3 linked regions of the Saccharomyces cerevisiae S288C genome follow. The main gene of each other region encodes a partner of the protein of the gene in region 3 in a complex. Each region holds a gene or a part of one and is shown on either strand. Other genes may lie near its edges. A codon is read from its position in the direction of its gene.

Region 1 (3,295 bases), on a different chromosome or scaffold from region 3:
GATATTAGCTGCACTCAAAGATCCTCAAGAAAAAATGAGTGAAGCGCAATTGCAAATGTTGGGACTTTTGCAGATCGTGAAGAGAGTATTTCTATTGGATGGTATATACTCGTTAAAGGAACTGTTGGTAGAATACCCAGAGTATGATTGTTTTACAAGACTTGCCTTCCCTGATGGTATTCAAATGTACGAGGAAGAGCCCTCGAGAGTAATGCCTTACGTGAAGAAAGCCCTTTCTCGCTTCAGTATTGATATGCACCTAGTGCATTCTTATAGCGACGAGTTATTAACGTTAAGACAAACTAATTGTTTAATTTCTTGTCTTCAGGATTATCAGTTAAGTTTCAAGTTGTATTTGGACGATTTGGGTTTGCATAATGATGTTTATAAGAATGGTAAAGTTGCGAAGTATATTTTTGACAATATTTGTTGATAGTTGATTTTATTTCTGCATTTATATATATGTGTGCGTGTGTGTTTTATATATAACTGCCAATGGCCTAAACCCAGATGGATTGGCCACGAGCTTCCATTTTTTTGCCCAGTTTTTCTACTTGATCGTTCCATTCAACCAGTCTGTCCTTCATCTTTGTAATTTGGTCACCACTTATGATTCTTGGTTGGACCCAGGAGATGGTAACGAGTTCATTTACTTGGTCAATAGAACCCTTTAATAGACCCAAACTTATGGCTCTCATGACCAGGTGTTCGACATTATCCTTTGGTAGGTGTGTAGCCTTTGAAATATCTTCAAATGAAAGCATCCTAATATTTTTGACAAAAACTGTTTCAATTAATGTCATTAGGCAAATTTTTTGTCGTAAAAATGATTCATGTTGAGCCAATATAGGAATCTTTGATATTTGAACTTTTATCAATGAGTCGAATTTATCAAAATCACCAACGGTTAGAGCATTTAATAATTGGAAAAGCCAATCGTAATTGGAATCGTTGACTATAGTTTCCATTATTGGATGGTGTAATAGTTCGCCAAAATTATAGATTTTGTCACCTAACAATGCTGAGATACTCAAATCATAGGCCAATTGTTGACGTTCGGCTAAAGTAATGCTTGTAGATGGTTCTAAGGTAGAAAGGTATAATAGACTTGTGTAGTAGAAAGAATTGAAATCATTTTTAAATTTAAAATACTGGGAATTTGTAGAATAGAAGCTGTTTGTTATCCTTAATGGAATGGAATCCTTTTTATCCAATGTCTTTTCCAAATCATCTAATAAATCTCTTGCCTTAACGAGGTCGTTCTTTAACAGGTAAGTTCTAGCAATTTCGCTATCTATCAACAAAATACCATCACCATGGTCTTTTGATCCATTATTTCTTTGTTTTTTAGAGTCCAATTCTTGAAATTGAGCCTTCAAATCATCCAAATATTTTAAAGACTCATCGAAATCCTTAGAATCCTTCAAAGAGGCAAGTAGATACTTTACTACTGACAATTGGTTGATTTTATCATAAAATTTAGAAACGAAGTTATCATATAATCTGAGCCTCAATGGTGTAGATTTAGCATCATCAAAAAATTTAGTCAAGGATTCGGACAATTGGAACCACAATTTCTCTTCATAAAATTTCTCAAATTGTTCGAATAAAGGATGCAAAGAGGGATCTGCCTCCATGCGGAGAGTGCTTAATATGGTGTCAATTTCATGATTATTAAACATCTTGCGAAATATAATGTGGTTTCCTCGCGTGTGCCCACTGTTTGCTTTTTGGTACTTAATAGTTTCTTCAATCTAGGTCTAGCTTTTATTTGTTCTTACTTTTGCCACCGGATGAAAGCGGGGAGCGGGTAAGAATGAAAATGATAATAATAGGATAAATGAATGTGTGTATTCAAATTTTTCTAACGTATACGTTATATGTATATATATATATATATATATGTATATGCTATTTGCAACACGATGCGTGACGGTAATGCTTTTTATAGGGCCTCGTCGATTTGTAACTTTGCCAGTTTCCAATTCTTCAGACATTCTTTGATCCATGCTTTGAAGCTAGCTGCGAAAAGTTTCAAGATCTTTCCAATGGTCAAATTAATATGGTTATATGTATGCATTAAGCTGTTGTATGACGAATTGTTAATTTCTAGCATGTCTGATATACAGATTGATAGACAATCTTTCAATTTGGATAAATCTTGGTTCAACTGTTTGATCTGTTTAGATCTTTCTTGTTCAGTCAATTGTTTGATTTCTAATTTATTGAGATTCATTGTTGGCGTAGACGTTTTATAGTTTAGTTTACTTGCGCCTATATGAATTTCGTTTTGGTGTCCACTGGAGCTTGAATTTGAACTTGACTTCGATAGCGATCTTACGTCCTTTTTAACAAATGTCAGGTCAGCAGCCTTTGTATCTTTGTAATTTTCATCTGTCAATATAGTCGACCGCGTTAAACTTTCATTAATCTTCTGCAGTTGGTTTTCAATCTCAGTGAGACTCGAAAGTTTCGTTTCTTTTTCGATAATTAGCCTCTCTAATATTTTAAATTGCAAAAACTTTAATTTCTTGAAATTTAGAACTTTGAATGACTCATTTAAGAACTGCAATAACTCATTAATGGGGTCCTCAAGAATAGAGGTGTACTTTTCTATTAAGATCTCGGAAGAAATGTATATAACATCGAATGAATGGCCTGTCTTTTCAATATGACTAATAATTTCCATCATTGGGTTGTTTGAATTGTTTTCAGATTCGCGAAGGCTGTTGGGCATGGTTATGTCATTTTCCAAACTAAAAGCATTATAATATGCGCCTAATTCAGCAAAATACGTGGACAAGGAGTGGAAATGAGATTTATTTGATCTTATGTTTTTTAATAAATGGGTGATTATTCGCTTATAATTTTGGAATAAATTTTCAATATGTGTAAATTGAGATTCGTTTTGTAAAATTTCTGTTGGGAGGTTGGAAATTTCATTATGACTTTTTACTGTGATGTGTTGTTGCCAAATCGAATTATAGTTTCTCAGAGACGAGTTGGATGGAATAGGTAAAATAGAATGAAGGGGGCTTGGTTTTGTTGGGCTTAAAGGTGGAGCTAAAAGGTTATTCAAAGGTAGTATGATTATCGGCGACGAACTTAAAACATCTTTCCAATTAAATTCAGGGTTTAGAAATTTTTGAAAAACAATATCGTTGCTTATTTCTTGAATGTTCAGACAGTTAGACAAGAATGAATTGAGCATTTTCTTCCTGGTGGAGATAATTTTGGAATCATTTGCTGCGTTTATGGGACTCCATATGTATTTGAGAAGAGAATGCTTGGATGG
Region 2 (3,374 bases), on a different chromosome or scaffold from region 3:
GTAATCCTGGAAAATTGTATTATTGGACCTATGGCAAAAATCGGTTCAAAGTGTAAACTCAGCAATTGTTATATCGAAGGCCATTATGTTGTGGAGCCTAAAAATAACTTTAAAGGTGAAACACTGGCCAACGTTTATTTGGATGAAGATGAGGAGGACGAGTTAATATATGATGATAGTGTTATTGCTGGAGAAAGTGAAATCGCCGAAGAAACTGACAGTGATGATAGAAGCGATGAAGATTCTGATGATAGTGAATATACCGACGAGTACGAGTACGAAGATGACGGATTATTTGAGCGTTAATATAAACTTATGTATATTCCTTCAGTCTCTTTAATAGAGACCAAGTAAGTAAGTGGACGAGAATAGAGGCGATATTATGCATTTATATTTGAAATTCAACAGAACATAATTATGCTTAAGCAAATTAACATGTTGTATTAATACATAGCGTTTTACACATCTATTTCATATATTATGTTATGTTAATTTTTGAATTAATTTTTCTTGTTCTTTCGTTGGATCAATGGCGCAGTTGCTTCTTTGTCACCACTCTCACTCTCACTGTCATCAGAGACTTTTGATTGTTTGTCCTTTACTCTTTGTTCTTGAATTTTTTTATTTTGAATTTTGTTTTCAATCAAATCATCAAACGCGATAATTGACCTAACCAAATTGCTTATATATATAACCATTAATTCATCATTAGTTTTCACAGTTAAAGCCTTTTGTAAGTTATTTGAAATATTAATTCTGTCATGATTCTCCACATCTATTTCGTCATCATCAGGTGTTCCCAGATTTGGTAAAAGGTTGAAAACATCTTGTAGCTTGCCCAATATAGTGTGGTTTATCGGTAATTCCTTATTAATGACTTTGTCTAAGTACTCGACAACGTCTTTTAGTTTGCTTTGTAATCCTTTCAAAGATTTTAATTGGTTGGTCAACCGGATAGATAAGCCACCTGCTGCTTGATCACGTACGTCTCTCAATAAGTGTTCTACACCAATTTCTTCAGCTTCTTCGGCCTCAATAGTACAAGGCAAATGAAGAAACGTCTTTTCTGTAGACGTACCATCATCCTTAACTTGCTCAATCGCGACATATGCATCTGTTGGTAAACCAACACCTTGTTGTTTGACATCAACAATTAATAATAGCGGATTATTCTGAGTATATTTTTTAAACAGCTCATTAATCTTGAGGTCAGAAGCCCTTAATTTAGGACCACTATGATACCATCCAATGAGTTTTTCCTTGGCATTAATCTTTTTACACATTTCATTCATGTTTTCAATATAATTATGGTCTAAAAACCACACGTCAGAGTTTTTCTCATCTTCTTCAAACGGTAAGGCAAAGGAATTAGTGACTCTGATAGTGGAACTGTTAGCATCACCTAAGATGACACCAACGCATCTTTTGTTTTCTTTTGTCTGCGTACGCTCATAATGATCCAAAGCAGATAGCAAAACTAGTGGTGCAATGGTAACTTTCTCGTGTTGTAGAGACATTGTAATTTGATTTTCCTTTCTTTCTTTCTTTTTTTAAATTCGAAAAATGCCCTCAATCAGTAGCAGTTGTACAGAAAGCCAACGTTACACTATAGATTGCTTAGCTGTTGGCTTCACAATTATTTCATTGTAGATTCTACGTTACGTGCAACTTGAGTAACGATTTGCCACTGAGGTATCCCCGAACTTTAGTAAAATCAAATTTCGTAATAAGTGATTAGGAATATTGCTACTTAAAGTAAGTGATGCTCATTGAAAGATTGCATTGTGAGTCTTCACTACTTACCGTAATAGAATGGTTTGTTTTCATTTGATTGTTGTTGTGTCAATAGTTTTGATTTTCTACTAGAGAGTACAATAATGCCCTTCGCTCAGATTGTTATTGGTCCACCAGGTTCAGGGAAGTCAACCTATTGCAACGGCTGCTCACAGTTCTTCAATGCCATCGGAAGACATTCCCAGGTAGTGAATATGGATCCTGCTAATGATGCCTTACCTTACCCATGCGCTGTGGATATTCGTGATTTTATAACATTAGAGGAGATCATGCAAGAGCAACAGTTAGGCCCTAATGGAGGTTTGATGTATGCTGTTGAATCATTGGATAATTCTATTGATTTGTTCATTTTACAGATCAAGTCACTTGTAGAAGAAGAAAAAGCATATCTTGTATTCGACTGTCCGGGCCAAGTGGAGCTATTTACTCATCACTCATCTTTGTTCAACATCTTTAAAAAAATGGAAAAGGAATTGGACATTAGGTTTTGTGTTGTAAATTTGATTGACTGTTTTTACATGACATCCCCTTCACAATATATCTCGATTTTGTTACTTGCATTGAGGTCTATGTTAATGATGGATCTCCCTCACATCAACGTTTTTTCTAAAATAGATATGCTGAAATCATACGGAGAATTACCCTTTAGATTAGACTATTATACAGAGGTCCAGGATCTGGATTATTTGGAGCCATATATTGAAAAGGAAGGCTCTAGTGTACTGGGAAAGAAATATAGCAAGTTAACTGAAACAATCAAAGAGCTAGTCTCAGATTTCAACTTAGTATCATTTGAGGTTTTGTCCGTGGATGACAAAGAAAGTATGATAAATCTTCAAGGTGTTATAGATAAAGCAAATGGCTACATATTCGGCGCATCCGAAGTTGGTGGTGATACCGTGTGGGCTGAGGCTTCGCGAGAAGGTGCATTAATAGCGAATTACGACATTCAAGACAGGTGGATAGACAATAAAGAGAAGTATGATAAAGAAGAAGAAGAAAAACGTACGGCGTTGTTAAAAGAACAAGAATTGCAAAATAAAGCTGTTGATGTGAATGAAGAAGATGAGTGGGAAAATGCGCTGAAGGAGTGGGAAGAGAAACAAGGAATGGATTTTGTTAGGTAGCGTGTTCAGGTATCTTTTTCTCGTTCAGCCGTGGAACTTAATTCAAAATTGAAAATTGTATACAGAGTATATATGCATATAATTGAAAGCAGCTTACTACGAAATGTTCTTGAATTGCTGGCCGAGTTGCAAATCAGCTGCAAAGGACAGAACCCTATGTCTGAACATGATTGCTTTCGTACCCTGAAAGCCAGCGCTACTAATTAACCAGGTTGACCAGCCTTCACTCATTCGCGGCGACAGCAAAAGCGGAAGAAGAAAAAAATAACCAGCAAACTGTCAATGGGTTTCTAGGAGGAAAAAGAACAAGTTAAAAATGATTAGCACCAACAACGTTGCCTATATCTGTCATTGGGCAGCTGTGCGGGGATTCTAAGGTTTTTGCGCAGATCGTGATATAAAATGTTGTAAAAATGGTTTGCTACTCTATATTGATGAAGTTTTCATATTCAA
Region 3 (3,786 bases):
CCAGGGTACTGAATTAAACTCTTACTTGGTAGATAATAACGATACACCAAAGAATTTGAAAAATTATATAGATAACGTCGTTGGCATTATAGACCACCATTTTGACTTGCAAAAACATTTGGATGCTGAACCTCGGATTGTAAAAGTGTCCGGCAGTTGCTCATCGCTGGTTTTTAACTACTGGTATGAAAAATTGCAAGGTGACCGTGAAGTGGTGATGAACATTGCACCACTTTTGATGGGGGCCATCTTAATAGACACTTCAAATATGAGGCGCAAAGTCGAGGAAAGTGATAAATTAGCTATCGAGAGATGCCAAGCTGTTCTTAGTGGTGCGGTTAATGAAGTGTCTGCGCAAGGTTTAGAGGACAGCAGTGAGTTTTATAAAGAGATAAAATCAAGAAAGAACGATATTAAAGGATTTTCGGTAAGCGATATTCTAAAGAAGGACTACAAACAATTCAATTTCCAAGGAAAGGGACACAAAGGGTTAGAGATTGGTCTTTCATCAATAGTAAAAAGAATGTCTTGGCTATTCAATGAACACGGTGGTGAAGCAGATTTCGTCAACCAATGCAGAAGATTTCAGGCGGAGAGGGGGCTCGATGTATTGGTTCTGTTGACTTCATGGAGGAAAGCTGGTGATTCACACAGAGAATTGGTCATATTGGGAGACTCTAACGTGGTACGTGAACTCATTGAAAGGGTTAGCGACAAGCTCCAACTTCAATTATTTGGGGGCAATCTTGATGGAGGTGTGGCGATGTTTAAGCAACTGAACGTCGAGGCCACCAGAAAGCAAGTCGTCCCCTATTTAGAGGAAGCGTACTCAAACCTGGAAGAGTGAAGGGAGATGTTATATATGCTTTATTTGGTTTATATATGACCCATATAGATATTTTTGTACACTACTATTTGTCTTGGTGTTGTTCAGGCTGTTCAGACTGCTCAGGCTGATCTTGTTGTTGTTGCTGCTGTCTTAACCTTTCCTGTCTTTGCTGCTCTTCTTCCATAGACAGACGCAAGGCCATTGCCAGTTCTGGGTCCATTGATGGGTCTACCCCGAAGTCCATAAATGTGCCATTGGCATCGGAATCACCGCCAGACCCACCAAAGGCGCCCATACCGGAGGATCCTTCTTCGAGAATTATGGGTGAAGATGCGATGTTCTCGTACAGCAGTCTGGGGCCAGGCGTCACAGTAAGCAAATGACTAGTTTCTTCTTGAGGGTTGTTCACTGCAGCTATGAACTCATCCAAAAGCTCCGTGTTCTGTTCAATCTCTCCAAAATTGATGATGTCCACGGCAACATTATTCTTTTTCAGTGTTTTTGCCAATCTGATCAATTCGTCTCGAGAATCACTTATTGGGCTACACACAAATGCCACAATCCTTTGATGTTGGACCTTATTCTGGCGATGCTTCAAAGTCAGCTGAGCGATCTGCAACGCAGTGGCCATATGCAGCTTACCCTCGATCTGCGTGTCGTGTAGTCCAGCAAGAATCTTCCCAAACTCGGCGGTAAACGTAGATAACACCCTGGGGTTGGCGCCAGCACCAGAGATAAGACCCACTGTATTCTCAGGATTGCTGTTTCTCTTGGCTTGAAATATGAACTCTACCGAGTCGATCTGGGCTTCAAACCTTGTCCTAGGAAAGTCGCCATTGCGAGAGTACTCTGAATTATCAATCACTAACACTGTAGCTTCCAATACCATTGTGCGGTTACTGCTGAGTTATTTATTGACTTTTCCCTTCTTTCTTTACGCTTTAAAAGTCTGATATAAGTGTGTATTTAGTTGTAAATTCCGGTGGCGAAAACCCGCCTGGCGGAAATAACCCGGCAGCTATAATGCCATATAACTTCAAGAGAATACAATTGTAAACAAGAAGTGGCAACAACATCAGCAAAAGGGCAGCTGCCGCACTCGGTTACGATGATACCGGCTCTCACTCCCGAAGAACGGCAGAAGTTGCGCAGCGCAATACTACATCGAATGCAGCTGGAACGTATGTCACCTCACCGCAACACTCTACCCCCAACCTTCACCCGCACTAATTACTAACACAACCTCAGTGGAAACAACAGAAAAACTGATCGAAAATATTAAAGAGGAGACGTTAAAGAAACTAAATCTGCTCCAGCAGCCTGATGCAACATCAGCGCCTCAATCAAAGGAACTAATCAGAGAGGTGCTTGAACAGGAAGGACGCCGTATAGAATGATTAGTTCGTATAATGGACCCTTTCTCGGTATTCGCAATGATGCACCTATTACTAATCAGCGGCCGATTTGTTGGTATTAAAGCAGCGTGTGGTTACATCCCCTTGTTGAATACATGTCTACTTAGCAGAAGGCCAGGTATATGGAAACATGCGTTTAATCAGTAAAGTTTTGGTGAAAACAAATTGCCTAGAGGTAGGTATGAGGAGGGCCCCACAATGGTATTCTCACTACTCTACTACAGCGGGCAATGCTCGTGTGAACAAGAAGGGCAGCAAAGTAGTGCCTGTGTTAACAGGGTTAGCACTGGCATCCATATTCGCGAAGAAATGGTATGACGATTCCCAGATCAAAAAGGCGGATGCCACCAGCGTTGCAGTGGACGCATCCATCTCTGCGTTCCCTAAGAAGATGGGCCCCCCACAGTGGCCCTTCTCCACGCAATATGAGCTGATTGGTAAGGGTGTACGTTGTGTCTCATCGATCACTTTCAAAGCATATGGTCTGGGCATATATGTGGCCGCTGAAGACAAACATCTGGTCTCTGAAGTACTGGACTCAAAGTTCCTGTCTCAGGCGTTCATCGACACTGCGGCACCCCCATCACCGGAAAACTCACATCAGGATAATTTGCGTGCGGCTTTGAACGATCCTGCTAAGGCCCCTATCCTGATTAATAACCTCTTAGACAGCGGAATCAGACTAATGTCCAAGAATACTCCGATAAAAGCAGGTTCCTTCAAGTTATTGATGGACGGCACCAAAAAGAGCGTCCTAAAGAACCCAGATTCTCAGTCTCAAGACAAAGACCGGCTGGAAGCTGGATTCCAAGAATTGCATGACTGTTTCAGGAGCGTAAAAGGACTTGTGGCTCGAGATGATGATTTTTTCATTGAGCTGAATAAGGACTGCTCTATGAATTTGTCTTACTACGCAAGAAAGAAGGATGAATTTGTGATATTGGGCACAGTGAAGGAACCCCTTATTGGAAAGCTCTTATTTGCCCACTACCTAGCTGCTGTGGATCCTCCTTCTCCGGAGGCTAGGAAGGAAGTAATCGATGCACTCGTCTCTCTATCTTAGGACACTTTCGCCGACTTCTACATACAATTACATAATACATACGCTGTTCCAAAAGCTGCACATATACTCTAATGATGTTTTTTTGAGTTTCCTTTCGACTCAATTTTTCTAGGAGGGACCCCTCAAAATGTTTACAATGCTATTCGGTTTTGACAAGAAAAAATCAATTCAAAACTCTTACGGCGTTACAACCGCGATAGAATCCCTTCATGGACAGAGGAAGGTGCGCCAATATGCTAAAATCACTCCAGCGAACACTAGCTAAATGTCAGAAATCTCCATCAACCAACCATTGGCAATGTTTCAAAAGAAATTTTACTAGTATACGAGCCACTAAATACCCTGGGCGTTCTAATTCGACGTTCCACTATTGGCCCTGGTTTGCGGCGTCAACATTGCTCGCTACTTCGTTATACTACCGTGATCGTCCGGTACAAAATGACGATAAAACTGATGCTTTTCCTTCTCATACTGAATCG

What was found. The genes of interacting proteins can lie anywhere in the genome.
Region 1: the proteins of RPN10 (region 3) and RPN9 are in contact, whole or in part, in a cryo-EM structure (PDB 5MPD), measured with the Saccharomyces cerevisiae proteins. Residues at the interface, in NP_012070.3 of Saccharomyces cerevisiae: Glu14 (codon at 1,679), Tyr15 (codon at 1,676), Arg17 (codon at 1,670), Asn18 (codon at 1,667), Gly19 (codon at 1,664), Asp20 (codon at 1,661), Pro22 (codon at 1,655), Arg23 (codon at 1,652), Thr24 (codon at 1,649), Phe26 (codon at 1,643), Glu27 (codon at 1,640), His77 (codon at 1,490), Thr79 (codon at 1,484), Ile81 (codon at 1,478), Glu82 (codon at 1,475), Glu148 (codon at 1,277); in NP_010715.3 of Saccharomyces cerevisiae: Glu35 (codon at 1,580), Lys36 (codon at 1,577), Leu37 (codon at 1,574), Trp38 (codon at 1,571), Phe39 (codon at 1,568), Gln40 (codon at 1,565), Ser42 (codon at 1,559), Lys72 (codon at 1,469), Ile73 (codon at 1,466), Asn74 (codon at 1,463), Asn116 (codon at 1,337), Asn117 (codon at 1,334), Gly118 (codon at 1,331), Ser119 (codon at 1,328), Lys120 (codon at 1,325).
Region 2: the proteins of RPN10 (region 3) and RPN8 are in contact, whole or in part, in a cryo-EM structure (PDB 5MPD), measured with the Saccharomyces cerevisiae proteins. Residues at the interface, in NP_012070.3 of Saccharomyces cerevisiae: Asn58 (codon at 1,547), Val61 (codon at 1,538), Leu62 (codon at 1,535), Ser63 (codon at 1,532), Thr64 (codon at 1,529), Lys71 (codon at 1,508), Gln92 (codon at 1,445), Ile93 (codon at 1,442), Leu96 (codon at 1,433), Thr97 (codon at 1,430), Lys99 (codon at 1,424), His100 (codon at 1,421), Glu124 (codon at 1,349), Arg127 (codon at 1,340); in NP_014904.3 of Saccharomyces cerevisiae: Pro55 (codon at 1,355), Glu57 (codon at 1,349), Lys61 (codon at 1,337), Asn62 (codon at 1,334), Asp64 (codon at 1,328), Val65 (codon at 1,325), Trp66 (codon at 1,322), Phe67 (codon at 1,319), Leu68 (codon at 1,316), Asp69 (codon at 1,313), His70 (codon at 1,310), Asn71 (codon at 1,307).

Annotation. Positions count from the first base shown.
Region 1 is NC_001136.10:1,320,592-1,323,886, reverse strand, and holds RPN9 (proteasome regulatory particle lid subunit RPN9), read right to left. Parts: upstream 1,683-3,295; coding exon 501-1,682; downstream 1-500. Other genes in the region: BNA7 (arylformamidase), read left to right, coding at 1-433; SNX41 (Snx41p), read right to left, coding at 1,946-3,295. UniProt on the Saccharomyces cerevisiae protein: Acts as a regulatory subunit of the 26S proteasome which is involved in the ATP-dependent degradation of ubiquitinated proteins.
Region 2 is NC_001147.6:815,415-818,788, forward strand, and holds RPN8 (proteasome regulatory particle lid subunit RPN8), read right to left. Parts: upstream 1,518-3,374; coding exon 501-1,517; downstream 1-500. Other genes in the region: GCD1 (translation initiation factor eIF2B subunit gamma), read left to right, coding at 1-306; GTPase GPN2, read left to right, coding at 1,878-2,921. UniProt on the Saccharomyces cerevisiae protein: Acts as a regulatory subunit of the 26S proteasome which is involved in the ATP-dependent degradation of ubiquitinated proteins.
Region 3 is NC_001140.6:497,011-500,796, reverse strand, and holds RPN10 (proteasome regulatory particle base subunit RPN10), read right to left. Parts: upstream 1,719-3,786; coding exon 912-1,718; downstream 1-911. Other genes in the region: PPX1 (exopolyphosphatase), read left to right, coding at 1-847; NBL1 (borealin), read left to right, coding at 1,938-2,010, 2,078-2,226; AIM46 (Aim46p), read left to right, coding at 2,375-3,307; AIM18 (Aim18p), read left to right, coding at 3,517-3,786. UniProt on the Saccharomyces cerevisiae protein: Multiubiquitin binding protein.